Linked DNA regions of Alligator mississippiensis. Each later gene encodes a partner of the first gene's protein in a complex. Links are inferred from orthologs where the notes say so. Each region holds a gene or a part of one and is shown on either strand. Other genes may lie near its edges.

Region 1 (7,461 bases):
GCGCAGATAATTGGAAAAATTATTTGTATCAATCTTCAAGTTTTAAGTTTAAGCAAGGTTTAAATACCCTTCATCAGGCTGAGGAAGCATCTGCAGTTGGTGTGTGCTCTTTCTGGATGGAATGAATAGTAAAGAAGCCAGAGCCTGGTATGCATGCAAGAAATGCAGTCAGTGAAGATGTAAATAGAGGAGTCAGTGGGTGAGAGAGAGGCTGGTGGCGAGAGGGAGAGAGGGATGCATGTAGCAGGTAAATAGTGGAGAGGTACCTGGGGAGTCAGATGTCAGGCAGGTTATAATGTGTCATAAATCCAGTGTCTATATTTAGTCCATGATTTTTTGTATCCAGGAGGTTGATCAAGTGAAGTGAAGTTCATCTGTGAAAAGTGTTTTGTAAATTCCCTTTGAGGATTAGAACTGAGAGATTGGAAAGAGAGTGGTTTTCATGTGAGAAATTTGCCCCCCACCAGTAATTGGGTATTTTTGGTTCCATCTAGGTTTCCAGTGTGCGTTCATTCTGGTGTGCAGTTGTTGTTTGGTCTCTCCTACGTATTTTCCATCAGAGCGTTTGGTGCATTGGATGAGATATATTACATTTTTGGATGTGCAGCTGTAAGATCTGGGACTGCTGGTGGCTCTGTTGTGGAGTGTAGTAAGTGTGGGGGTGGTGGAGGTGTGTTGGTAGGATTTACATTTCTTGTCATGGCATGGTCTGGATCCATTTGGTGTGGTTTGTGCCCTAGGAAGTTTGCGTTTCGTGATGAAGTTAGTGAGGTTCGGTGCTTGTTTGAAGGCTAGGATGGGTAGTTCTGGGAAGATCTCTTAAGAACAGGGTCTCCTTCTAGTATGGGTTACAATTGTTTGAAGATTTTCCATATAGGTTCGAGGGAGGGGTGATACGTCATAAGCAGTGGTGTGTGATTCGTGGGGGGTTTTCTTCTGTATTGCAGCAATTCTTCACATGGTATCTGGATAGCTGCAGCACCCAGTGGCCACAAGCTGGCTATAGGTGGGCCTGGGTGCTGCCAGGCCTGTTAGATGCCTGCAGCACCCTATGCAGCTGGATGGCATGGCCCTGGCAGCCATGCAGTGATGCAGTGCCAGGGAATAGCATTGGGGTTCAGGCAGCCTGTCCTGGGGAATGCAGTGGCCACGGGCTGCCAGGAAATGCCCCTGAGCCCCAGCATCCCTGCAGCCCCAGCGTCCCTGCAGTCCCTGGGGCTGGGACAGGCATAGAGCTGGCCCAGCCCTGGGGTAGGAGAGGCTCCCAGCCTCAGGGCCCTGGGGCTAGCCTGAGGCTGCCCCCCTTATGGTGGGGCTGACTGGGAGTAAATTTGCTCCTGGTCAGCATCTACATGTGCGCTATTGCGCAGTAACTAATTGAGAATAAATTTGCTACTTGTATTTGCAGGTAGCAAATTTGCTTGTGATTAGAGCAGTTTACTGTGCAGTAAGCATCTGTACATGTAGACACGGATGCTTAATGTGCAGTAATTTGCTCAACTGCACAGCAAAGCATCTTGTGTAGATGCACCCAGTGTTGACAATATAAGCCTTAGGCCTTATATATAAGCCTAAGGCCTTAGCCTTAGGCCTTATATATGTCTTAAGACATATACTCTAAGGAAGAGAATAGAACAGTGATTCACAAACAGGGGCCCACAGATATTAAGGGTGTTGTGCCTTATTGAAAACTGTTAGGTGTGCAAATACATGAGTCACAAGATAAACCCAGAGATTTGAAATGGGTATCCATAGTATCAGGGAGATTCTGACCTGTTATTTTCTTTCTGAGATTTTTAGAACAGAAGACTTGCTCTATTATTTTTTAGTAGTCAAAACGTTAACCTAAGAACCAGCATTTTGTGAGGGGTAATATAAAAAGATGGATAACCACTGGCTAAAATTTCCTGACAATAGGATTCGAATGAGTACTGTGAACGCACCATTTTCTTAGAGTGGCCATGACCAAAACCAGAGGATTAAATATGGAACTACAGAATTTTTCAGCTTCTCATCCTTCCTTGTAGAAAGAAGCAGTTACCCATGCTAGTCTGAAGTTTGACAGGAGGTAGGGCAGGATAGCATAACAGACTAACAACCCAACACAGCTACCTACCTCTCTAATGTGCCACCCTGCCCTTTATCCTTGTGTGTCCTCTCCTTGGCTTAGCTCTGCTTTCCATCTTCATTTGTGAAACAGAACGGTTGGAACAGCAACCACAATTTTAAAGGGAAAAAATAATCACTTTTCAAAGGGAAAAGAATAGTTTCAGTTGAATGCAAGGAAATATATATAGAGGGCTTTGGCAATGTGTCTTGAAAGGGGTAGGTATTTATCTCAGTATCAGTCAGGATGGTACCTGTGAACTGTGCTGTCTCAGGCTGTGACAGCCAGGTGCATCTGGACACTGGTAACAGCAAAGACAAGGAAAAGATCCTGATGATCGTCATGACCATTCTCTTTGAGAACCAGTGGCAGGTTTTTAATGGTATCTGGTATCATTTGATGGTCAAGGGATATCTGTGTCAAACACATCACGGGTTATTGCTAATACGAATGAGGGGATGGATTGAAACTCCCTCACACACACCAAAGTCACAAAGACAGTTAATGTCATTAAATATTACCCATCCCAGCAATTATATACCACATTAAAAACATTGTTTGAAAGTGTTTTACAGTCTGACAACTGTGCACATGTGGTAACCATGCACGGGGTCCTGTTTCTCTTCTCTCCATAGTGTTGCATTGCAACTTCTTAACCCCTTTACCCAGAGCTAACATAGGTTGCATAACTAACTGCGTGGCTTAGCCTGTGCTAACATATGCCAGCCACATATTCATGTGGCTACTATGTGCAGAATCCTCCAACTCTGCAAAGCCATAATTTGAACATTCTGCAGAGACGCTAGGTATTATTATATTACCTGCTCTTCTGTTATCATTATATTGTCACTGTGTGCCTACTGGGGCTGCTGTTATTTTGTCTTTTTTCTTTCCACTTTCTTCTCTCTTCTTCCTCTCTGTCCTTCATTGGTAGCATTTCTCTTCATTCCCCTTGTCTCACCCCTTCCTAGCTCTTCCTCCTCTACCACTATCTCACCTATATTTATCTTCTCTTGTCCTACTTAGGTACAAAATTATACTTTTGTCCCTCTAGTATATACTCTGCTACTATCTGCCTTCCACTTCTGCAGCGGGACAGAGGAGAAACAGCTAAAATATTAGTCTAACAGCTACCTATAGTGGCAGCAAACCTGTCTATAGGCCTGCCACTTGTAGCCCTGCCTGCTTCTATCTGGCTGTTTCCTGCAGCAGTGGCTGCTCACATCAGAGTATTGTACAGGTGGTGGCTGGTTTCATAAAATCACAGAAAGCTAGGGCTGGAAGGGACCTCAGGAGGTCATCTAGTCCAGCCCCCTGCTCCAAGAAGGACCAGCCCCAACTAGATCATCCCAGCCAAGGCTTTGTCTAGCCAGGCCTTAAAAGCCTCCAAGGACAGAGAGTCCTAACAATGGAAAACAATCCTTGATAAGCATTTGCACTGCCCTGACCATGGGTGACTGGTGCCTCCCGAGTCTGGGGGGGCACCAGTGGGGCACGACGGGGCGGGTAGCCAATTTCTGGGGGGCACTAGCACTCTCTGTGCCCCCTACCAGCCGGAGCGCTTGCTGTTGGGGGGGTGGGGGGGGTGCCCCCTCTACGTGTTGCCTGTGGCCCTGACTAACTGCCATTTGCCCTGACTAACTGCCGTTACTAACTGCCCCGGCTGCCCTGGTAGTTCCTTTGGGTGGCGGGGCTTTGGGGCAATGACCAATACACTTTGTGCCAAAGGAGGACAACACAGCTTTCTGCTTGTTGGGAAAGCAACAGGGACCGGCCCTGGATGGCCAGGGCCACCTGCCCTGCTGACACGGCTCTCCTTCCCCATGGCGCCCAGCTCGGAGCCGCCTGGTGCTGCCCGCGGGGAGCTGCCCCCATCTCCCTTCCTTGGTCGGGCCTAGGTGGGGCGTGATGGACTGTGTCGTTGCTCAGAAAGCCTCTGAGCTCCGGAGGTGTCCGTGTCCCCGGCGGAGGCCTGCGGCCCTCAGGCGGGGCAGTCTGGGCACCCCCGAGCAGAAGCAGGGGCACGAGGCTCCCCTGCCGCCGGGGGCATCTCCCCTCCCCGCCGCACGCAGCCCGCGGGACGCGGACACTGAGGCAGGGGCAGGGGCCGGGCCCTGCCCCCCTACCCCCTTCACACATCTCGGGGAAGCACAAGCGGAGGCAGGGACCAGCGAGGCGCCCGCATCAATCACCGCCTTGCCCCGCCCCCGGCTCTGACTGACACCCCCTCCTCCAACCCCGGCGGCCCATGCCCTGCCCGCAGCCAATGAGCGCGGAGGAGGGCGGAAGATCCCCGCTTCAAGGCTGGTTGAGCGGTGCAGGTAGGTGCGGGATGTGGAGTCGTCGCTGGGGCTGGTGCGGTCGGGAGGAAAACGGGGCAGCGCCCGGGCCGGGCGACAGGGCTGGGCTGGGGCCGCGGGTGGGCGGGCTAGGCCGGGTCGGGCTGGTGGTGGGGTGAGGCTCGCAGGGCACCCGCCGCCTGCTCCTGCCTCTGCCCCAGCCCCAGCCAGCAGCAGGCCAAGTAGCGCCCGCCGCCCGCTCCGGCAACTTTGCACGAGGAGGCGGCCGGGCTGGGGCTGGGGCTGGGGCCGGGGCCGGGCAGGGCCCGAACTTTATTTGCTCGCGGTCTGAGCCCGGTCCTGCCGCCGAGCGTCGGGTCCGGTTCGCTCCGCGCGGGCAGCGGCTGCTGGGAGCGAATTGAGCAGGCCGAGGCCGGGGGGAGGGGACAGGGGTTTGCTTCCAGCACAGCCAGAAAGTGAGTTGGGTCGGAGGAAAAGGCAGGGCGAGGGAGACCGGGAAGTTTGAAGCCCGACGTGACATGGGAGTAGGAAGGGGAGAGCCGCGGCCAGAGGAAGAGCTGTTTTGTTGCATTCGCAACAATGGGGATGGAGAAGGGAGCAGGCCAAGTGCTGGGAGCAGGGATGGGGCAGAGGGGATCCGGCACAGAGGGCTCCTCTCTGCACCAGGCCTGTGCCAAGAAACCACAGGATTGCCTCCCTGCAGATCAGGCTTTTAAAAAGTGTCTGCCTTAACGTGCTGGATTTGAAAAGGGTTTTGAGTGCTTGGCACACAGTTCCCTTGTAACTTCCCAACTGCAGTGAACCTGAATGGGGCATTTGAGTTTTTGGGGCTTTTCAGCCCTTGTGGTTTTGAATCAGGCTTTACATTTTGATGGCTTGTAAAACAAGGGGAAAAAAATTCCCCACAACAGCTAAACAATTTTCAGAAGCAAAAGAAGTTAAGAGCTGGCATTGCTGGAGCAATAGCAGCATAGGACTAAGGGCTTCATACACTACATTTGAGGAAATGAGGTAGAAAAGATGTCTGTTGTCCCTTCTTGTTTTGGCATCCCCATTTTACCCAAACATAATTAAACAAAACTATCAAATTCCAAGCTTCCAGATGAATGCTTTGCATTTAGCTTGTCTAACTTGGTCCCGATTATAGTTGGTCAAATTAAAAAAAAATATAACTAGAAAAAAGCTTTGCCAGCTATGATATCATTCTAAAACTTCCAGGAAGCACTCCAGAAAGTTGGGTTTTTTTTGGTTGTTTTAACACCTCTTTTTCCCCCCTCCTCCCCCCCAACACGTGCACACACCTTCCCCTCTTGCTCCTCACTAAAGTCTTTATCATGGTAAAAACATTTTACTTTCAAAAGTCAGATTATTAAATATGATAGGAAATTAAGTGGTTCAGGTAATACAGAGGGAAATTCAACAAATGTGGTTTTTATGAGTCTGAGGAAGTTAGGCACTCAAATCTTGATCTCCTTCACATTCTTTTGGATCCTCTACTTAAATTGTTGATCTATACCCTGTACAGATTTTTTTTTTTGTATTTTTCAATTGCTTTGGCTTAAAAGGTACTGGAATGTGTCAGTGCTCAATTTGCTGTGATTTATTGTAGAGCTCACTTGTGTACTATATTCCATATTTGTGGCAAGACATATTTTTAATCATATCCTCAAAATCTTTTTTTTTCTTGAGGCAAGTTGAATATTGTCATGTATGTTTTGTTTGTAAGCTATATTTATTTCCTCTGTCTTAATATATTCTTGTTCTAGATACCAAGTTTCCACTTCTTAAAATAAGCTAATAGTGCATGGTTGCACCTGGAAGAATTAAACTCCCTTGCTCCTCCATCCTGAGCCTTTTCTGAACCGCTGTAGACATGGATTCTTCCAAGATGGTCTGCAAGGTAGGACCTCTCATTCTTTCAAAGTTGTAGTGGCATATTTTTCTTAAAGATCTATTAAACATTCAGAACTATCTGAACTGTGAAAATCATCATGGTATTTACAGGCTCTGTTCAGGAATCAGATTGTTATTTATGTCCAGACGAAACTTAAGAAGTGGGTTCCCTTTGTAATTTCTTTATGGCAGATAATCCTAAAATAGAGATTTGGGAATGTGTCTAGAAATGTTGGGTTCTTTACAGTGTTTTTGAATTTTTTTTAACACATGCAGCTGCTTTTGTATGTGTGTGCTTGATGTTCAGCCTAATTTTCCTGGTCTTGTACCTGGAATTCCTGGTACACTGATTTGACACACCCAAAATTTTATAACTACCATAAAAATGGTCTCTTTCCCTGTTTTATACACTTTTCAAATGCTTGTATATGCCTACCGTGTTCTTTGTTGACATATTTGCTTTGAAGAAGTAGAGCATTATATACAGGCATCCCGCATCTTACGTGCATTTAACTTGCGCAAATTCAACTATACGTGGGTGGGGAGTGGGGCTTGAGTCTGCAAGTGGCGCTGCCGCTTACCTGGAGGCCCAGCCACCACCACGTTGCCAGCGGTGACTGCCTCTGCCTCCAAAACCTCCCGCCGCCGCCATGGAGCCGTGCCCAGAGCTGTGTGGCCAGCTGCCAGGTGCGGTGGTGGCCAGGTGGCACACAGCCATCCCCACCACCACCACCCTGTGCTGCACTGCTGCCGCCAGCCGCACAACTATAGGCGCGACTCTGCAGTGGTGGCGGGAGGTGTTGGAGGCAGAGGCAGTCGCCGCTGGCATGGTAATATGTGATTTCACCATACGCGATTTTCGCCTTTACGCGCTGCCTTTAGAACGTAACCCCCGCGTAAGATGTGGGATGCCTGTAAATAGCACTAATGATGTAAGGTCTACAGCTGTCTTTTGCCAATATATTTGCATTTAATTAAAACCTAAGATGAAATCATAAAAAGGTTAAGGACCCTAAAATAGGAAAGAACCAAAATCTTGCCCTTGGCTGGATTTCTTTCTTTTCTCCATTGTTTTGACATCCAGTTCTCTTTTCCTCCCCATCTAAGCTAGACAGGCCAAATTTAATTCTACTGAAGTCTGGGTCATACATAGGACTGAAC
Region 2 (7,018 bases), on another chromosome or scaffold:
CAACAAGGCAACTGATCTGGTCTGATGACACAGAGGATCCAGCAAACTTCCCCAGGGAAGTAAGTGATATAGTACTTACTGGCCCTTGCTACCAAAAAGCCGTCCTTACTTTCTCATCTGAATTTATTGGGTGATAAATATATCAAAAACCAAAGTATTATCCTTATATTACTCCAAGTCTAGTACTGACCCCTGCAGAACCCAACTGAAACACCCTTCATTGACAAAATACTGTCTCTCAGATTTTGTTTTAATCCCCACACACCAATCTCCCATATGCCAGAGAGGTAAAGGTTAGAGAGTAACGGAGAGAACAGAAGCTAAACAATAAAGGCAAATGAGACAGGGAGAATCATGAGTCCTAGAACAAAGGGATCCACACCAAAAAGATCCCTTCCCCTGTGGGAAGCAACTGCCCATTGCATAGGTAACCCAGGAGAAGCCAGTGACAGACACTGACTAGAAAGAGGCAGTAAAATCGAACAGGCTGATTCACCTGTTCCAAGCTCAGCTACCAGAGACCTCGTTCAAACACACGTAACTTGAAGAACCCAGATTTGTAAAGATCTCTTTTACAATGAGATTGAAATCTACTAAGGAGGAGGGAGGCTTGGCTCTTACGCATGTTCCAGTGCTTCTCAACCAGGGGCCTGTGCTTTCCTTTTAAGGGTGCAGGGCACTATTAGCATGGTCAGGTGAGCAAACACCTCCATGTGACCGCCAAGAGAAACCCAAAGACTTCCAGTAGGAATCCAGTGTGTCCAAACCTGCCTGCTCTGCTGTGGCTATTCTAAGTTCTCTGCAATGGAAGAATTGCTCTAGTACTTTTCTGAAGTTGAGAAGCAAGTGAAAGATGATCCAAAGGGAACCTGGAGTCCAACACGGTTGAGAGCCACTGCATTCCATACCGATTCTTAGAGCTTTGTTCTCATGTTTTTCTTCGATCTCTTAAGGGTGCTCTCTCCCAATTACTTAGCTTTAGATGTCAGGTGTAACAAAGAGAAGGGAAAGAATTGCAGAGAGACCTGTAAATTGTGAGGCACCTCTTTTGGGTGTCGAGCACATCACTGGTGCAACAAAAGCCATCACCCTAAGAAATCCTTGTTTCTCACATAATTTTGGACCATAGTGGCTATGTCACCCTCACTGTATCTTTAATACAAAAATTGCTTTCCTAATTTTTTGCTCTGTTCAGGCTACAGGGCAACGCCCTGTACAGGGCAAACCCCCCCGCCCCCGAAGACAATGGGTCCTTCACACCCAAGCCCTTTCATAGAATCATAGAAGTACGGTCAGAAGAGACCATGCAGATCTTCAGGTCCGACCCCCTGCCTGGGCAGGAAGAAAACCAGGCTCGACCCCAGCCAGGTAGGCATCCCAGGCTCCTGAGACTCACCTGGGGGGCAGTGACCACTGGCTGGTGTCCTCTGCTTAGCGGCCCCTTTTAGATCCCTCATTAATAAGCTACGACTTCACTCCCACCTCTGCTTCTTCATTTTTTGCCCCCTGTAATTAGCTATTGTGTCCTCAGTGGCCTCCTTCATGGAGGGAGGCTCATAGTTTTCTTTGGCAGGTCTTGGTTGACCATCCCTTCAGTACAACAAATAGGCCTTACTAAACTATCCCATTACAACAGATCATAGAACTTACAGAGCAGTTGGGCTAAAAGGGACCTCTGGATATCATACTTAGTCCAACCCCCAGCCTGAGGCAGGATCAGCCCTGTCCAAACCATCCTCAACAAATCTATGATCTAAACTCTTCATAAAACTGCTGTCAACCTTGACACCACACAAGACATCACACCTGAACCAGCTCCAGGTAAAGTAGGGGGACCATGAGCTGAGATTCCTTGCCTCTCTGGGCAGCCTGTTCCGGAGACAGACCCCCTTGTGGTCAGAAAGTTCCTTATCTCCAACCTCAATGTCCCCTACCATAATTTAAGATAATTGCTCTTTGCTCTGTCCCTGCGGCCACAGAGAACAATTTACCCCCATCTGCTGCAGAATGACGCTTCAGATATCTGAGAACTCCTCAGCCTTGTCTTCTTCGGCTAAACGCCCCACAACTACACAAAACCAGAAGCACCAAGGACTCCTTGGTAGTGGCAGAGGAGATGAAGGCCTGGCCAATGCCCTGCCCCAGAAACCACAGGGGTATTTATGCCTGCTGGGAAAGTGTCCCCCAGCCTGGAGTAGGCCTGGGCTTACATGGCAGCGTCCTGGTGCCGTCGCGGTGTGACAAAAAGTGTGCGGGTGGGTCGGGCACTGCTGGCGTCGGGGTGGGCGGTCCATGGCTTGGCGTAGCTGTGGTCCAAGAAGACCAGGTCCAGTTCACGCTCATGGACAGAGAGCTGGAAGAGCAGAGAGGTCCCCATCCTGTGGGCTGACGTCTGGAAGTCGCGCTCAGTGGCTCGGCCCCACATATCTTTGTGGGCTTCAGCCCCGCATCCTGCTGCCTGACTTAGGAGAGGCAGGGGGTGAGCAACAGACAGGGAAATGGGCCTGGTGCTCTGGCCCCTTCTCCCCTTTCACCTGTGGCCCTAGAGACCCCAGCAGCGCCCTGTGTCCCTGCTGCCCAGGAGTTCCCAGCACCCAGTGGCCCACGGCCCGTCCCCACCGCCATGATGACCCTGACTCCGCCAGCCAGACCCATACCCATACCCAATACCTCCTGCCCTCAGCGCTGGTGACCCCTGCCCACAGCACCAAACTGCTCCCCGCTACGTCCCTGGCCCCAGCACCCCTCCCCCACAAGGGTCTCCATGACCCAGCTCCTCCTGTCCCCAGGGCCCTCCGATCCCTGCCACCCCCGTGCCCCAGCAGCCATGAGCCCCGCATCCCATGACCCCAGCGCCCTCCCCACTGCTCCCTACTCCCAGTCCCTCGTGACCCCTGACCCCCGGCCCCGGCCCGGGTCAGACCCTACTCACAGCCCAAGGCCCGCGGCCGCCTCGGGCCTGGGCTTGCCGCCTACTGCGCACGCGCCACTGCCCGGCCGGCCGCAAAGCCCGGAACGAGGAATTCCCGGAGCGGAGTCTCCTGCCTGCTACGCATGCGCCGACCAAAAAGCCCGGAGTGTGGGATCCACGGAGCGGAGCCTGGAGCGCGGCGGGGCCGGGGCCGGGGCCAGCAGGGGAACGAGAGCTGCCACCTAGTGCCCAGGGCAGCGGCGTGGCTCTGCCTGCGCCCACCCCAGCCTGGCCCAGCAGCACCCACAAGACCCAGGCCCAGATGTCCAAATGCCACCCCTGGCAGCCAGCTCCAGGTCCTTCTGTGAAAGCCCAGCCCGCCCCTGGTTTGGCGGGACAGCACCGGGGCTGCCTGGTGCATACAAGGTCCCCCAGCAATGGAGGGAGAGTGTCCCAGGCTTCTGGGTCTTGCTAGTCACCATGTCTAGACCCAGCACTCTTTCCTCTAGACCCAGCACTCTTTCCTGCCTATGCAGGGGGTCGGACTCGATGATCTATTGAGGTCCCTTCCGACCCTAACATCTATGAATCTATGAATGTCAGGTGGGGAAGGCATTTTCCTCTCTTCTGTTGCTACAGGGATGGCGGGTTTCCCTCTTCCTCAGCAGCACTGGGTGGGCCTTGGCTGTGGCCCAGGCTGGGGAGGGCAACTGGGCTTGGCCAAAGCTCTCGCTGGGACTCAATGCTGGAGGGTCCTAGCTAGAGGGTCTTGCCTGGAGATGATGCCCCCAGAGCCCCCAAATCGCAGCACTGCCAGCTCGTGGCCACGCTGGAGTCAGTGGCACCTGCTCAAACTGGCCCTAATCCCTCCCGAGTGCCACCCCCTCCCAGGCTGGCCCATCTTCCACCCCCACTTCAACTTGTCACCCTGATCCCCCCTGGTCCCCTGCTACTGCCACGGAAGCAACAGCTGCCCTGCCCATGGCCACCAGGGGGCGGGTACACGGAGGCATGATGCCACCTCGTGGCCAAGGGCAGCTCTGCATGGCTGCCTGGGCAAGAGCATTGTCCCCCCAGCAAATACAGGGAGGGTCTTGGCGTTTCCCAGGGCTCTGCTGGGAAGGTGACTGGGCTGGGCCTGTACTTCTGCTGGGACTCAAATCTAGAGGGTTCCGGCTAGGTCTTGCCCCTCCACTCAGGGTCTCATTGATGCAACATTGAGGTCAGAAATCTTGCCCACCCCTGCACCAAGTCACACAGGTACAAAGGGGGGGGGGGGGGAGGGGGGGGCTTGGCTTCCTCTGCAGCAAGGGCATAGTCTCTGCCTGAGGTCTCTCAAGGGCACTGAAGCCACCCAGCAGCAGCAGGGTACCACCAGCCCTCTCCTGGATTCACCTGGGACACAGCCGGGGGCTCTCAAGGTCCCTGGAGTGTTGTGTGGTGTTAGGAACAGCTCAGACAAGGACGTGTCAGCAGGGGTTGGATGGGGCTGGTCCAGCCTGGCTGCCCTGTGAGTCTAACTCTGACCACACTTGCTCGAGTCAAGCTCTAGCACACCCACTGCTCTCCTCCCATCCAGAACCCCTTGCCATGTCCCAGAAGGCCATTGTGGACAGCTGAGACATGCCTTAGCTGTTTATATGCAGTAGGGACCTAGAAAAAGATCAGGCTGGAAGGGGCCTTACAAGGTCCCATCCAGTCCAGCCCCCTGCTGTAGGCAGAATCAGCCTTCCCTAAAGCAGTTCATCCAAGTGTCCATCCAACCTGCACTTGAAAACGTCTGGGGAATGGAAATTTCCCCCCCCAGCAGCCCATTCCAAGGCTGGATCCCAGTAGTCAGAAAGTGCCTCATCTCCAGCCTCAGTTTCCCCTGCTGCAGCTCGAGGCCATGGTTCCTAGTCCTGTCCCTTGCGGCCCACCTCCATCTTCTCTGTCGTCATCCTTCAGGGGTTTGAAGGTGATCAAATTGGCCTCACTCTTCATTTCCCCAAGCTACATCACCCCCGTTTTTTCAGCCTTTCCCCACAAGGCGGGACACTTAGCAGTCTCCCAGGAACAGAGGAAAGCCTCATTCATGGCACTGTGCCACTGGCCCCTAGTGACTACTCACCCTCCACACCCCTTGGAACAAGAGAGCACAGAGCACTGTGGGATGCCAGAGGACCAGAAGGAGACCCATGGGCTGAAAGCCAAGGCAAAAAAGTGGTAGGACCACATCACCTCTTGAGCTAACACTGTCTGCTAGTTGCCCAGGTCCCTGATGGGCATATCCTCAAAGGGATCCTGTCAGAACCAAAAGCCATGGTAGTATCCAGTCCTGCACCCTTGTGACATGAAGCCTACTGGGGGGGCAGGGCCAGAGCAGAAAGAGGCAGGGCTTAATATGGGCCACACCTGCCCCAAAAGTTGATCACTTGTAGCAATCTCTCAGCAGCACTGGATTTTTCCCTTCCCCTAGAAACTGGGTGCATGGAATAGGCGGGAAACATGGGCACAGGGCTGCCATTTGGTAGGTGAAACTAAGCGCCAAACCTGCTGCAATCCCCAAGAAGCAGAACACAGAGCAGGCCGGGATCCCTGGTTGCTGCTACTCCAGTACTCGGTACAAGAAAAAATCTTTTATTCTTTGCTCTGCCTTTCAAAACCAAGGTGTATTATATTGCAGACAATATGATATAGGAGCGCCCGCCTCCTTTGAAAGGGCCTGTTCCTGACCCTGTCACACACACAGACACGCATGCACAGAGACCCACACATTCAGTCTGTCACACCCTCACAAACATGCAGTCATACAGATACATGCATATTCAATCCATCACACTCAAACATGCAGTCATGCACACAATACATATGCACAATCCTACCCTTGCAGTCACATGCACGTTCGCTCCATCACATGCTCATAAACAGTCACACAGACACAGACACATTCAGTCCATCACACACTTGCATGTACTATCATATATGCAGACACACCCGCATTCAGTCCATCATGCACACACACATATTCAGTGTATCACACACTGACAAGCACGCAGTCACACAATGTGCACTCGTACAGACACGTACACATTCAGTCCATCTCACACTCAAACAGTCATACTCACCAGTGTCGCACACATGCTTACTCAGACACACTTGCATACCCAACTCCACTTGATTTAGCCACAGGTCCCCTTCCCTTCCCCTCCCCTGCCCTGCACCGGCTCCCAAGAGCCAGGAGACCCCAGGGGCTCTCTTCCTCTCAGGCAGGTTTATCACCGAAGTCCACAGCACGATTGTGAGACCCCTCCAACATGCTCTGACTTTATATAAAGCCCCTTCCCATAACACATTGCTACACGAGCCCTGTCAAGGGGGACAGCATCAGATCCCAACAGTTCCATGGTCCCAAGGTCCGGATCATGTGATGCTTTCCCTTGGCCCTTTGTCACGTGACTGTGGGATCCGTAGCTATGGTGGATCCTATGTGGGTGGATCACATGTTCCCAGGTGGCCTGGTACATCACACCAAGCCCCTATGTCCTGGCCCAGAATGTCTTGGCCAGAGGCTACAGCTTGGTGGGGCGGTGGAAGCCGTGGGGGGAGGCATAGGCAGGCTGGCTGTGCCATGTGGCGACAGGATAGAGGCGGTGCCGCTGTGAGCTGTCATACGATGTGGGGTAGTGTGCCAGGCTGGTCGCCAGTGGCCGGCACAGCTCAGAGGCCTGGGCAGAGGCAGTGATCACAGGGCCTGGGAAGGCTGGGATGACAAAGGGACTGAGGGATGGTGTGAGTGGCGATGATTCCCTGGAGCCAGCCAAGCTCAGTGGAAACCTCAGCATCGTCCCTGTGTAGGCATCTGGGCCGGGTGGTGGCAGCAGTGTGGGAAAGCCAGGTGCCACGGCCTGTGGCTTGGCTAGGCCAGGCGAAGCCTCCCGCGGCTCTGCCTCCCTGACAAACGGGGACACGGCCCTCAGCTTCTTCCCAGGGCCAAAGCTGCCATCTTCTGGCCCACGTTTGCCCAGCCCCGGGCTCTGCCCAGGCTTGGATGGCTGAGGGCTGACTCTAGCCAAGCTGGTTATGGGAGCCACCCAACAGGCTTTGCTGGCAGGGAAGGCCAAAGCC
Region 3 (7,438 bases), on another chromosome or scaffold:
CCGGTGCTGGCCTTCTTCATCTGAGCTTGAAGCGCCAGGGCATTCCTCCGGGCGTGCTCGGCACAGAATGACACGCTGGGGGGAAAAATTAAAATGCTTACAGCCCTGAGAGTTTGCAGCCATCCAAGGAGATATGCAAAGCAATGCACGGGTGGGCACTCACTGCCACATGGCTGGAAAGGGCATGAATTCCTCCCCTCCCTGCTACCACCCCCAGAACATAGCCAGCGCAGTTCCTCAGTATAAGCGTCCCAGGTGATTTCCAAACCACATACATGACTGCTGAATGCAGACCTCTTGCACCTGAGTCAGTAGCGTGCTGAGGCCTGGAGATAAGCCCTTACTCTTACAAGTAGAAGGCACAGGATTCAAACACCTAAGGTCTTCTTCTGGACCTTAGGAAGTCTGCAGGAAGAGAGATCTGCCGACTGCAACAAATCCTCATGCCTGCCCCTTTTCAAACCATGCCGGGTTTGGGTCCACAAGCTAATTCAACTCCTCTCCTGGAAAAAGGATCCAGGGCAACATCAGAACTGGGATTTGAACCCCAGAAGTCACAGAGAGACTAGGTGATTCGAAGCCTGGTGATGTCTTGTTCCCCTGATCAATACCAGCCTCAGGTACCACAAGCTTCTTTCCATCCAAGGACCTCCAAACACTTTACAACGGTTAACAAACTTGTAACTCCCCCCAGACAATTACAGCTCCCGAAAAACAGAAGCAGCGCCAAGGTCAGACCAATGCCACCTACCCAGCAGCCTCTCTCTCAGCGGCAGGGGCAAATGTTTTGGAGGGAGCGCACCACACCAGACCAATCAAGAGCAGCACTTCTCAACGGTTTGAGACTAGAGGCACCCTCATTAGATGCAGGGCACTCAGAAAAACACCAACTCGTTTTTTTTCCCAGCATTCGCTCATTTTTTTTGCAACAGGAAAATACTAGAGCTGTCCCTCTATTGCAAAGAACTCAGTTTTTAACGCCACAGATTCCTATTTAGACCTGCAGGTTTATCTTGTGACTCCTGCACACGCACAGACAGCACTAAGGTTAAGCAGCACCCCTGAAAGGATCTCCCGGCACCTGGGTAAGACTCGTGGCTCTTAGCCCCCATTTATTACCCATCGTTACGGGGCTAGAGATGCCAGAGGAAACATCTCCAACCGCTGCTACTATCTCTGTAGTCCGTGAACATGCCTAAGCCCAGTGATCCCCAGCCCCCTGGGCCGCCTGGCAAAGCTTTCTCAGGGGTGCCGTGCCCGCGAGGCGTGCCAACACGATTCCTGGGAGAAGCCCAGAGATTTTGTGCAGGGATCCTCAGCCTTAAAGGCCACGCGGATCCGGGGGTCTGCCCGAGTGCCCTGCCATGGAAAAAACACCCCTTGTGTTTCTGTGCAATTGAGAAAAAAGGGAAAACTAAGAGCTGACATTTTTGGGGGGGGAAGCTTAGGGGTCATCTATGGAGGGGGGGCCTATAGAGGAAGGGGTCTATGGATGGGAGGACCTCGGGGGGGGAACTTTATGGGGGTCTATAGATGGGGGGGACCCTCAGGGGGGTCTAGGGATGGAGGACTATGGAGACAGGATGCCCTTGATGGGGCTATGGACAGGGGGGCTACAGAGGAGACCTTGAGGGGGCATCTTGGAGGTCTTCAAGAGGAGGCTGGATAGTCACCTGGCTGGGGTCGTCTGACCTCGGTCCTTTCCTGCCAGGGGCAGGGGGTCGGACACGACCGTCCATTGTGGTTCCTTCCGACTCTACAGTCTAGGACTTCATGAAGGAGAACCCCCCGGGGGTGTCCGTGGACAGGGCGCACCTCAGGGTGGGGGTCCACGGGCAGGATGACTCTTGGGGGGTCTATCGTGGGGAGATCTATGAATGGGGGGCACCTCAAGGGCTTCAAGGGGGAACTTGAGGGGTGTCTACTATAAGGGGGGCTGAGGGGGGGCTTGAGGGACTATGGGGGGGGTCAAGGGCTGCCTGAGGGGACCCTTGAGGGGTCTATAGAGATGGGAACCTTGAGAGGCTAAGGGGGGGCCCTCAAGGAGCTGTGGGGGGTTAGAAGTGTCTATGGGGGGGCCTTGAGGGGTTGAAGGGTATCTGGGGGGGGCCTGAAGGGTATCTATAGGGGTAGATATTGGGGCAGTCTATGGAGAAGCCTTGAGGGGCTGGGGGGCGCTGAGGGGAGTGTCTGTTGGGGGGGGTGCATGGGACGCTGGGGGGGGTGTCCATGGGGGCCTGCGGGGGGGTGTTGGGGATGCTGGGGAAGGGTGTCTGTGTGGGGTGCCCATGGGGGGTGTTGGGGGCAGTGCAGGGGTGTCCGGGGAGGGGTGCCCATGGGGGGTGCTGCAGGGGTGCTCCATGGAGGTGTGTTGGGGGGCTGGGGGGGGTGTTGGGGATGCTGGAGGGGGGTGTCCGTGTGGGGTGCTGGGAGGGGTGCCCATGGGGGTGCCTTTGGGGGGTGTTGGGGGGGTGTCCGGGGGGGTGCCCGTGGAGGGGCTGGGGGATGTTGGGGGCAGTGCAGGGGGATGTCCGGGGGGGTGCCCATGGGGGGTGCTGTGGGGGTGGTCCATGGAGGTGTGTTGGGGGGCTGGGGGGGGTCTGTGGGGGGGGTGTTGGGGGCGTTGCGGGGGGGGGGGTTGCCCGTGGGGGGCCGCCCTGGGGCGGGGCGGGGCGGGGCCGGCACGCACCCATCCTTGCGGTCGGGCTTGGGGGCGGCGGCGGGGCAGCGGCGGCCGGTGGCGGCCGACACGTAGCTGCAGGCGCGGAAGGGCGCAGCGCGGTCCTCCAGGATGTGGCGCAGGCAGAAGTCGCGGCCGTCGAGGCGCGGGCGCGAGCAGGCCCGGGCGGCCGAGGCGCAGGCGGCGGGCTCGGGGCCCCGCGCGGGGGACAGGCGGCCGCGGCCCGGCGGCAGCACGTGGATCCGGATCCGGTTCATGGCCCGGCGCGGGGCGGCGCGCACACGCGTGGGGCGGGAGCGCCCGCTCGGATCGGGGCCGCCCCTCCCCCCGCCCGCCTCACGCGCGGCCCCTCCCCGGCGCCGCCATTTTGTCCGCGCGCCTGGGGGGGCCCGCCGCGCCGCGCCGCCGCCATCTTACCTCGCCGCGCCGCCCCATTGGCCCCGCCCGCCGCCAATCCCCGGCGGGGAAGGGGGCCGCCGCTGCGCGGCCATTGGAGGGAGCGGCTGTCACTCAGCCGGCCGGGCCCACTCCCCGGAAGTGTAGCGTGGGTGCCCGGCGCCTGGGGGCAGCACGTGGGTGCGCGGCTCAGCCTGGGCTGGGCCCGTGGCGGGTGCTCGGGGCTACCCGCTGCTTTCCCTACGGAAACAACCCCCAACTCCCCTCCTCGTCCCCCAAGCCGCCGGGCGGCGCTGGAAGAGGCACCTGCCGGCCCCGTGGCAGCAGGGGCAAGAAGGTGCCCTTTCTCCTGCGCTTGTGCCGTCGCGGGAAACCGGCAGCTCTGCTTGCCTGGGCAGGCCGGGGGAGGAGGCGACGGCCCCCGGCTTCCCTCATCACCCCGCTCTGAGCCTCTCGTCCATCATCTCTACATCATACAAAAGAGAGGGGTGGGAGGGCAGGAGGTCACACCTAGCCCTGGGGTTGCCAACCCCCAGCAGCGCATTGGAAGTGGGTATATACCTCCAGGGGACTGCTGAGTGGTCATCTGTAACGGGGATGCGCCAGTCCATGGACACGTTGGCATTTTAGAAACCTCCCACGATCGATTGACATAGATGATGACCCTAAGGCCAAACCCCAGCTTCAAGCAGGACCAGCCCCAGCTAGACCATCCCAGCCAAAACTTTGTCAAACCAGGTCTTCAAAACCTCCAAGGCTGGAGACTCCCCCGCCGCTCTAGGTCATACCAGGTGTTCAAAGAACCGGGTCTGGTGAGGAACTACCCTGTCCAGGAGAGCCAGGAAAGCCCCTTCAAGAAGAAACAGAGGGGCAGAATACAGCAGCGGCCCCCCCACTCCCTTTCTCCTTCACAAAATCATGGACAACGAAGGCTGAAAGGGACCGCAGGAGGTCACATCTAGTCCAACCTCCAAGCAGGACCAGCCCCAACTACATCGTTCCTCATCTCACACCTGAGCAAGGACCAGTTAGAAAGAAAAGCCATGGACACAGGTGAATGCTCGGTTGACTCCTTTGCCTTTACACTTTTATTGATGTGGATAAATACAGAGAAACATACCTGACAGCAAGATACTGAACACCTGGGAACCAGATTAATTAACCCACAAGAAGCCCTTACTGAGGAGTTGTCACATTTTGTAAGGGGGGGGGGCAAAAAGGAAGGCAGTTTTTATGGGGAGGAGGGGCGGCAGGAGGGCAGGGAACCCCAAAACGATCTTTGTAAGCACAAGGCAGCCCTGAGTGCGAGATCAGAAAACAACATTTTGCTCTTTGGCTTCGTAGGGGTAAGAAGTGACATTTGAATCAAACCTCGGGGCTGATCTGAGGCATGTGTAGCACTTGTGCGTATCCCCCCACTCAACATCCTGCGATGCGGGCACCACCCTGAACGCGCAGGGTGCAAGGAAGCAACAACAACAGCTTTAAAAGCCGTCAAGCACCCTCCCAGCTGGACAGGGTGGCAGCGAAGCCCTCGGGCAAGCTCCCCCCACCCCACGTGGCCCCTGGAAGGAAAATGGGTTGACACTGGAATTTTTGCAGCAGTCAGATCTCTGTTTTTAAAAACAAACGTCCAAAATTTTAAGTATTTCAACCTGTCCAAAGGTAAACAACAGGAGCTCCCTTCAGGGCACGAGTCTCCCACCTCACGAGGCTGAACAAAAGTTTCTGAAGTCACCGACATGCAGGGACAGGGCCACAACCAACTCGGTGGCTCCCCGTTGAGCATAAGATGAGCCGATATGATGGCAGGAGGCTTGGGCAGCAGTGAAAGTACAGAGAGTGGGTCCTTCTCTCCCCCTCCTGAGGCTTTCCCAGCCACCCCTGCTACTCCCCATCTAGTCAAGGCTGCCCCTGCTCTGAGAGCACCTGGGCCAGTTCCAGTCTGGGACGTTTCAGGCTGGATGGAAGTGAGAGTAGCCTCGCCTGCACCAACAGCATCCCCTGGCTGAGCAAGGCAAGGAACTTGCATGCAGAAGGGCAGAGTAGGAAATCCAGCTCAGCACAGCCCTCCCTCCAGCACCCAGTAACTTAAACCATGTCCTTCTTCATCACCACCAGGAAAATCCACCTGAGCATCACTGTGTAACAGTGACAACTTTCTGTTCCAAGACTCTGGTCGCCACAGAATACCAGGCAGGTCAGCACCAACAAGACTTCTTTCACACACACACACTCAGCTGGGCCATAAGCTCCCATCTACCACCCACACTTAGCACCAAACCAGGCACGTAACAGAGCACAAGAAATCAGGTCCTAATTCCTCGTGTAAGATGAAGATAAAGAATGCGGTAAGATAAAGCCTAGGGGCAATTTTAGCTGGTACCAGAGATGGTCTGCCCTCAGAATACAAACTGCTCTTCCACACGGATCCAAGCTGCATCCTGGGCACCGTGAGGGTTTCCCATGATCCAAACCACTTTCCTAATTCACGACTGTGTCAACCGATGGAAGACGGGAGGTTTCACCATTTGGATCCCAAATTCTAAGCAGCTCCCCATCCTTTACCAGAATCCACAACACAGGCCAGGAACATCCAACCCTTTGTTCCTCACACGCCACCACCTGTGAAGAATCTAAGTTCAAAGCTGCTGTGAACCAGGTAAGAGCAAGAACTAAATGAGAGGAAAGACCCTAGGATTCTCATTTTACCGCTGGCCTCTCTGGGAGCTAGTAAAGCCAAATGCTTGCTCTCTATTGAAGATGTGGTCATGAGATGCATCTATTTCTACCAGAGAAAAGAGCAATACTCTGGTCCCTTGGTTCAGATTCACAGCTGTAGGTGACATGTATGCAGCTATTTTCATTTTTTAAACCAGTACCTCTGTTTCCAAAACAGGTACAAAGGAACAGCAGCACCTTTTTATCTCAAGGGTCAGCTTCATCCAGCCCCGGGACAGAAGATTGCATCTGAGTGAGAAAACAAGCTGCTCCCCTGATAAAAACATTTTGGTAGGGAAAAGGCAGAAGAGTCAGACCAAAAAGCTTTTGGTCTAGAAATAAAGTAGCCGTGCTGACAGCAGGGGGGAGGGCAGCAGTTTATGGTTAAAAAGAAAGAAATCCAGAGTGTAATGCAGAACAGGTCAAATTTCACAAGAGCATATGGAGAAAATAAATACAGTGGCAACTTGGGAAATTATCTGAACCACGAGGGAGAAGTCATTAGTTTTTCTGCGAGTAAATGGAAAAGAAAAAAAAAAAGCATGCCCAACACTGCTTGGATTCCCCTGCTCCAGGGCTCCACCAGCTGCCAACACTGGCACAGGAGTCCCTCGGGGAGCTGTTCCTGGAGGCGCCCTGCACACAGGGCCAGACACAATGGACTTCTCTAGCCGGCACAATCTCCGCTGCCTGACAACGCCGAACCTACAACTTGAGGCATGCACGGGCTGATCTGAAGAAGTTCCCTCTCCTTTTGCCTACTCTCTAGTTCCTTGTTCTGATCTTGCTTTCCAGGGGCAACTGCACCAGGTCAGAGTCTTCTAGAGGTTCAAACCCGTGTCGGACCAGCCGACTCCACTGACTTCCACCAGCTTTACTCCAGGGGAACAGCAGAGGCCACACGGCTCGTGCATTTTGCGAGATGCCGCACAAAGGGACAACTGCCCCGCACAATGCAGACGCTATGCACCAGAGACAGCGCCTGCGAACTGGCACAGCCGAGGCAAAGCAAAGCAAAGCAGAGCAGCCAGAGGCCTGACCAAATGCAAGGAGTCTACTTAGTTGTTATTTCCATTTTAGCACCTTTCCTGCTATAGCCACGTGCAGGGGCTGCAGACACAGCCACCTCCCCCCCCAAAAACTCAAGCCATTTCTAGGCACATGCCTGTATGGCCAGATGACATGGGCTCATGAATGCCAGTAATACAAGAGGTAACACCGTGGGACCCAGACAACTATACTGGGGGTAGGGGTGCAGGGAAGACACAGATCTCGGCCCCACATGCCAGCCCGACTCTGGCCACTGAAACAACTCAGCCCCAGCTGCCTCAAAAGACTGTTGAAGAACAAGTCACGTCATTTTTCTTTAATTAATTTGCATAAAAATCTCGTTCCATAATGACACTGAAGTACATTTTAAAGCATCCGAAATCACAACCCCAGTTTGAGCCCGTCTGGGGCACAGCACCTCTTTTCCTTTCCTAAGTCTCACTTCCACTATTAGGCAGCGTTTATCTCAGCAGGAGACTGGAGCAAGGACCTGGAAGGCACCTTGCTGCTGTTCCCACCACCGGGGTGTCAAGTCCTGGCCCCTTTGTGAGTTTGGCTCGGCACCCGCTCCTCCCCCTATGCTCCCCAGAC
Region 4 (6,859 bases), on another chromosome or scaffold:
GAGCCCAGGGAAAAGCTGAGTGCAGGGGGGGGGGGGCAGCCCCTCCCCCGGCCCCACAGCCAGTACCTCACGCTGCAGCTGCTTGCAGCATGCATGGGGCTGTTCGGAGCAAGCACAGGCAGCCCCACACAGGCTGCAAGCAGCTACCACGCAGGGCACTGGGTGTGGGCGGGCCACTTCCTCCCCCCCCCACCACCTTCCCCTCAAAGGAAGATAGCATCCTAAAACTAGTATTTTCACTCATTTGCTACTAGTACTTACGTAATAAATTGTGTTGGTGACTTGAAATACAGATCATATATTTTGCTGGAGAAGCACGTTTGGCCCAGAAAGGTGTGTACCACCCCCTTACAAAGACCGTGAATAACTGGAGGTAAGACTGAAGACTCATCATCGCCCCTGCAATATGCTTGCTTCCCCACACACTTCCACCAAGCAGACAGCTATGAACCCTCATTTTATAGAATGAAGCCTACAGATCTAATGGCAATCCATAAAGTTTGTGTATTCCAAACTATATAGTCCATGTCATCTTGTTTTGTATTCAAAATTACTACTTTATTCCTGGGAATCACAAGTTCAAGAAATCTAACAAGTTCTCATTTATGTCAAATACAAATATTTAAGAGATCAACAAGGAACTGAGAGAACTAGAGTAAGAAGTGTTTTCAGGGAAAGAACACAGAGAACCTGATCAGGACAAAGAAAAATGGGCATTTGGTATAGCGCAAGACTTCTATTATCACAGTTACTGCCTGCATTCAGACACGTGTGTAATAATGAATCCATACTTATTCACAAATGAAGATTTACAACCTGGAATAATTTACTCTCAAAATGATTAAGGTAAACAGTCTCATTTCCATTGAGAAAAAAACACTAACAGACAAGTAACAGGAAAAGAACACTGGCTGCTTGCAGATATAGAAAAAAAAGCAAAAAAAACCCCAAGACACACACTTTAAACTTAGTGCACTCCTGCACTGAGCCCAGCACATGCCTAGAAGAGGCCTCGCATTAATTCAACCCAGCTCTGCAGCATCTATAGATTGGGCGCTTTACTGTGACTTGTTGCGGCTTCTACCTAATAGCCAATTGAATCAGCTTTAGATAAAAGCGACAAAGCCCTGCTAAAGCGCCTTATCTATACAGATCCTGCAGCGGCCAGGTCGTAATAATGCGCTACTGCTTCCAGTAAAGCATTGGGGGGGGAGGGATTGTTGTTGTTCAGACATGTCTGAAAGCAGCCATTAAGTCTAACTTCAAACTTGGTAAGTTTCAATTAAGTAAAATGACAAAATACTTAGCTTCAAATAGAGCTGCAATTTTTTGGTGTACTGCACAATATCACACACTACCTAAAATTCCATATCACATGGATGTTTCAAAAATGTAAATTACAATCCATCTTGATTTAATTTATCCACTCTACCAATAATGGAAGTGTGCTTGAAAAACGTGTTATAATTTTAGTTAAAGTTTCTTTAAAAATCTGGAATCAGAATAAATCAAGGGCAGAGGAATTTTTCCATGGTTTTCCAAAGTGAGAAGTTAATTATTCAAAGCTAAATTAAAAGATGCATACTGCTTTCTAAATATTTTTTTTCCAAAAAAACCCACAAAAAACAAACCTCTCTAGAACTCTTGGTTCAGAGATACCTTGTATCAGACACTACTGCCAATCTGCTTCAATTCTTAACTAGCCTACCTACATTACTAATTAGGATGCCTTGCTTGAGCAGATTAAATTTTCCTGAATGCCCTTTTTGTTCTGTAATCCAACTCGTTTTTGGTTGCAATTTAATTTATTCAAGCCTTCTAGAACAGCAGTTTTCAACCTGTGGTTTCCAGACCCCTAGGAGTCTGCAATCTATGTCTAAGGGGCCTGCAAAAGATGATTATGATGAATCAAAAATACCCACACTTAAAATTCAAAGGGGTCTGCAAATGAAAAAAAAGGTTGAAACCCACTGTTCTAGAAACTAGAACTTGGTGTACTGGTCCACTCTGCCAAGGGGCCACAGGTAGCTGCTGCGATGCATAGCTAGGTTCTTTGACAAAGGCAGTGTAAGGAAAGTTAAATGAGCCAGGGGAAGGCACCAGTTCGGGATTTTGCCACTAGAAGACCCGTTCTCATAAAAATCCTGCTCAGCGGAAACGCGGGGCGTGTCTTAGCTTGCTTTTGCCGCCCTCCTCCTCTGCACTTAACTGCAAAAGCACAGGCCGGTTTACAAACTTTCCAAACAGGCTCCATTTTGCCCCCAAAACACCCCTTCCCGCTGACGTCACCCCAGAAGAGGGGGAAAAGTCTTTGTGCCACTAGCCGCTACGGCTCCTGCGTCGCCGCAGTCGGACCCGCCGCGCCGCTCTCGCCCCTCGCTGCTGCTCGGCAGCCGCCGGGCTCGGGAGGCAGGGAGCGGCCCCGGCAGCAACAGGGCAGCGGGAGCTCCCAGCCGCAGCGCGGCCGCGCCGCCTCCCGCGCTCGCAGGGGCCATGTGAAGGAGCCGCAGCAGCGCGGGCTCTGCGGGGGCGTCCGGCGAGGCCGGGCCCCAGTCTCGCCGCCGCCTGCGCTCGGGCCGTACAGACTCACCTGTCCGCGCGGCAGCTCCGAGCGACCCGGCCCCGCGCACGGGCCGCCGCCGCAGTCAGGGAGGCCACGAACGGCGCCCGGCCCGGTCCAGTCCTCCCCTCCCCACTTTGTGGGGGCGGTGCGTGCGGGTCGGGATTGGGCTCGGCCTGCCTCCCCCGCCCGCAGGCGGCCCCGGAAAGGGGCTTGACGAGGCCTGGGTGCTGCCGGCTCCTTCCCGAGGAATCTGCACGGGACAAACTGCAGAGACAAGGGCACCCGGACACACGCCCGCGCCACCGGCCAAGCAACGCAACAAAATGGCCGCCACGGCTGCGGCCTCCCGGCTCCCCGCGGGCTAGCGAGCGAGGCGGGTCTCGGGGGCGGGACCGCAGGGTGATCGCGAGGTGAAGGGAGGCGCCGGAGCCTGCGGGCGGGGCGGGCGTATGGAGGTGAGACCATTTGTTCGAGAACTTCAACCTCGTAGAACGTAGGATGAGCAATTGTAAAAGTGTCCAAAATGTACGATAATTTTTGAGGCAGCTAATTGGTACAGCGTATGCAAAACCTAAGTCACTCTCAGGGAGCTTTAACTGACTTCTGGGTTTATCAGCACTTTCTTATTATTGCTTGTCTCAAAATAAAGAAATGCTTCAACTTTAATGACCCAGTTTCACCCACTTGCTGGCACTTACAGAGAGTAATATAAAGTAAATAAGAAGAAGCCTTATTTGCATATTTTTCAATGTATGATAGTTTTTCAGCAAATATGATAGTTTTTAGCTTTCAATACAATCATTTCACAGTTAAGACCTGGCAACACTGTTGGGCACTACCCATGAGTGCCACATGCCCCCAGAGGCTGGGGAGGGTGTGGTGAGCTCCTGCAGGTGGCAGGAGCGTGGCAGCGACAAGCAGGGAGCTCCCACAGGCAGCCACAGCATAGGTGGGGGAGTAGCAAGTGCCAACTGCCAGTTGGCAACCACCCACAGATGCCACCAACAGTGTCAGCAGCAGCCAGCGGTGATCAGGGACCGCCGGCAGACAAAAGCAAGGGGGGAGGGGGGTGATGACCGGCAACCGCCCGCAGGCACTGTCAGCGGCCCTTTTGGCAGGGGGTGCACCGCCATGCTCAGGGGGTACACATGCACCCTCATGCACCTCCTACACATTGCCACTAGTGTTGCCCAGTACAGCCCCTGCAGTGCGCTCAGCACCACCCCTCCCACCCCTGGTCATCAGCCCTAGGGCATCTTTGTATCCTGGGAACACAAGCCTCTGGGTCAAGGAGCCAGGCTTGCTGTGAGGGAAACTATGCAACGCATCAAGGCACTAAACAGAGAAGCACTAGCATTACCCACCCTGGGGTCTTCTTATTAAATAGGTTCCTTCTGGGAACTTTGGTTTATCCCCTGGTGGCATCCAATCCACAGCCTGACCCGAGGCCCCCAGATGGCTCTGAGAGCCTCTGTCTTCTCCCAGTTGCAGCTAGCTGCTACCCTGCTCTTTCATGCTGGGGCACAGTGGAGGCAAGCTGAAGGGCATGTGGTTGTACAGGATGCACTTGCCCCTGGGTGGTAGCTAGATCCAGTGACCTCCTTGGTGCTGGATAGTTAGGTGGCTGGAGATCCCTGGTGAGAAGACAGTTTGCTGTTGGTTGAGTGGATGTAGGCTTCAGTGCTGATCTTGGGTGGATGCAAGGATGAAACCACTGGTATATCTCCATGCAGACCCATTAATAGACCCCAGGTTGCCACCCTCATCTGTCACCTCTGGGCAGCAGAGTTCTGTAATCAGGGCAATAGTGGCTTCACGTTCAAGAGGGTTGGGAACTAAGCTGAACCACCATGTTGTAGGATGCTTGGAGGACCAGCTGGCCAGCTTGTCCCAGGATGATGTCCTGGGACAACTGTTCAGACATCTGTCATGATATTTTGGAACAAACAATACTTATTCCACAAATCTTTTCTGGGGTGTTGTCCCATGACAACTGACAAAGACAATTGTACTTGGTCCTGGGGGACAAGTACAATTTGAACACTTGGTCCTGGGGGAATATGTTTTCTTCCAAGACAAATGTGACATCTGCTTGTAGCCGTAAAAACCTGCAATGACAGAGAGATTACTCAGCCTTTTTAGATAATTGGTTCTGGTGCCTATTGTCAGCACAGTGTAAGTAAGGCTGCAGCCCCTTGCATCCTGTGAGACTGGGCCATGAGGACACAGACTCACCCACTTCTAGCACTCAGCGGAGGTCACCCAATTCTTACCTGCCACATCTTAGTGTTGAATATGCCTTTGTCAGGAGGTGCTCTATTTTTGCTGCATGAAGTCCTAGATATGCTGGTTCTGTTTCTTCCTTGGGGTTTCTACCTCCCTTATACCCACTCCAAGCACCACCCCATTGTTACAGTGTATGTTGTGCTCTCAGTGAGCTATCTTCTTCCATTCTTTGCTCCTGTGTGCCTGCATTTGTCCCAAGCCTGGCTTAAGGGGACTGCAGCTGAGCCAGCCTTCAAATCATTTGGTCACAGCTTGATACACAGAAGAGAAATGAAGGACAACACAAAACAGGGAAACAGAACTCAGGTAAGTCTCAGCCCCTAGGGTCATTGTGGCTGGAGGCCACTAACCATGAGGTAATTCGGTCCTTAGGGCTGCAGTTCATTCCTAGGTGCCCAGCCCTCACAAATAAAAGGAACACAAAAAGAAATATGTCAGTCTCCCTGATCCTTTTCATCTACATCTTAGGCATTTCTCAGCCTTGGATGCTTCACCATCTGTCATCAAGGCTTCAGCAGCACCTGCCAGCTCCCCAGGCGCAACAGGCCAGCCCACCCACCCTTATAGACTCAGCTCCTTGTGAGTGTTGGAGTCGGTTCACTTACCCATGTGCTTCTGGCACAGGGCCAGCACTGCCTTTCTCTTCGCCTCTTTCAGGTGGTGGCAGCCCAGCCTCCCAGACTCCGTGGCAGTGTAAATGAAAGTAAAAGTAACTGAACCAAGAAGACCTGGAGCCTTGCCAGCTCCCATGATTGCCAATTCTCTTGGTATGTCTCCTTGCCAGAGGCAAATTAAGGTATACTGGCGCCCTGAACAATCACAAAATTGGAGGCCCCTTCCCACCATGGGAGCTGGGTTGCAGGGGGGAGGGGCCCCTTCCTCTCCTAGTGCTGGTGGGAGAGGCTAGGTGGACCCTGCCAAGCTGGAGGGCACATGCTCGCCTCTTCTTCCTGCCCCCACTACAGCCAAATGTGCACACACAGGTGTACACAGACACACACAGGCATGTGCACTCTGCCCTCTCTGCACATGGACACACACACACACATAGACAGACAGACACACACACACACACACACACACACACTTTCCCCTCACTCCTGATCACATGGAGGCAGCCCTCTGTCCCCCCTCCCCTCCCCTCCCCTCCACCACCCTTCCCTCCCCTGCCACAAGCTGCCTGCAGCTCAGTCTCCCTCCCCGCCCAGCCCAGGTTACACAGACCTGCAGGGAGCTGCTGCTGGGATGTCCTGTGCAGCCCCGCAGATGCAGAGGGCCCACTGGGCTAGGCCAGGAGCGCCACGCCATGCCTCTGCAGGCAGGCGGTGGCACTGGGAGGGGTGGCTGTGGGGGGGCCAAGATGAATTTTGTGGGGCTATAGCCACCAAGGTCTTCCCAGCACTACCGCCCACAGAGGTGCAGTGCAGCACTTCTAGCCCGGCCCAGCCCCAACCACCCCCCTCGCTAGGTGGGGCACAACTCTCCCAGCCTGTCTCGGCCCCCTCTCTCCTCGACATGGTGCCACTTAACCCACCCCTCCCGCAGGCGCGGCACGGCGCTCTCAGCCCAACCCCAGCCCTACCGGACCCTCCCCACAGCCCCATTGTCACAGGGGCCCCACTTCCAGATCCCAGGGAAGAAATGTGAAAGCCACAGTTTTAAACTTGGCTCCAAAGATAGGCGCAGAGTTTAAAACTGCGGCTTTCACTTCCCTGCTGATGAGGATCCCGGGGCCCTAATTGGTAGGGGCCCCTGGGCTCGTGCTCAACTGGCCCGTGCATTAATCTAGCTATGCTTCTCGCCGGTGCTCCCTCCTGCTCCCCGCCATTGCAGGCTCTGTGGTGGCATTTAAATTATCAGGGCCTCTCCAGGCTCCCAAGGGGAAATTCCACCTGTTTTCTGCTGCCCAGAGTTTCTTCACCAGCATCTTGGCAATCCCAGGGCTCTGCTCTCATCTGGCATCCATCCCGTTCTCTTTCCAGCCCTGACAGAAGGCCAGAAGTACTAGCC

The links.
Region 2: KANSL1 (region 1) and KANSL3 share a complex: the UniProt entries of both Homo sapiens proteins name them as parts of the NSL complex. The link is inferred for Alligator mississippiensis from reciprocal best matches to the Homo sapiens genes KANSL1 and KANSL3.
Region 3: KANSL1 (region 1) and KANSL2 share a complex: the UniProt entries of both Homo sapiens proteins name them as parts of the NSL complex. The link is inferred for Alligator mississippiensis from reciprocal best matches to the Homo sapiens genes KANSL1 and KANSL2.
Region 4: KANSL1 (region 1) and PHF20 share a complex: the UniProt entries of both Homo sapiens proteins name them as parts of the NSL complex. The link is inferred for Alligator mississippiensis from reciprocal best matches to the Homo sapiens genes KANSL1 and PHF20.

Annotation. Positions count from the first base shown.
Region 1 is NC_081827.1:158,971,418-158,978,878, forward strand, and holds the start of KANSL1 (KAT8 regulatory NSL complex subunit 1), read left to right. Parts: upstream 1-4,446; 5' UTR 4,447-4,462; intron 4,463-4,573; exon of another isoform or gene 4,574-6,173; 5' UTR 6,174-6,307; intron 6,308-7,461. UniProt on the Homo sapiens protein: Non-catalytic component of the NSL histone acetyltransferase complex, a multiprotein complex that mediates histone H4 acetylation at 'Lys-5'- and 'Lys-8' (H4K5ac and H4K8ac) at transcription start sites and promotes transcription initiation.
Region 2 is NC_081830.1:10,566,586-10,573,603, forward strand, and holds the start of KANSL3 (KAT8 regulatory NSL complex subunit 3), read right to left. Parts: upstream 3,017-7,018; 5' UTR 2,933-3,016; intron 2,463-2,932; exon of another isoform or gene 2,459-2,462; 5' UTR 2,426-2,458; coding exon 2,211-2,425; intron 1-2,210. Other genes in the region: ARID5A (AT-rich interactive domain-containing protein 5A), read right to left, coding at 6,463-7,018. UniProt on the Homo sapiens protein: Non-catalytic component of the NSL histone acetyltransferase complex, a multiprotein complex that mediates histone H4 acetylation at 'Lys-5'- and 'Lys-8' (H4K5ac and H4K8ac) at transcription start sites and promotes transcription initiation.
Region 3 is NC_081838.1:6,530,222-6,537,659, forward strand, and holds the start of KANSL2 (KAT8 regulatory NSL complex subunit 2), read right to left. Parts: upstream 3,022-7,438; 5' UTR 2,938-3,021; coding exon 2,690-2,937; intron 76-2,689; coding exon 1-75. UniProt on the Homo sapiens protein: Non-catalytic component of the NSL histone acetyltransferase complex, a multiprotein complex that mediates histone H4 acetylation at 'Lys-5'- and 'Lys-8' (H4K5ac and H4K8ac) at transcription start sites and promotes transcription initiation.
Region 4 is NC_081832.1:36,719,431-36,726,289, forward strand, and holds the start of PHF20 (PHD finger protein 20), read right to left. Parts: upstream 3,002-6,859; 5' UTR 2,591-3,001; intron 1-2,590. UniProt on the Homo sapiens protein: Methyllysine-binding protein, component of the MOF histone acetyltransferase protein complex.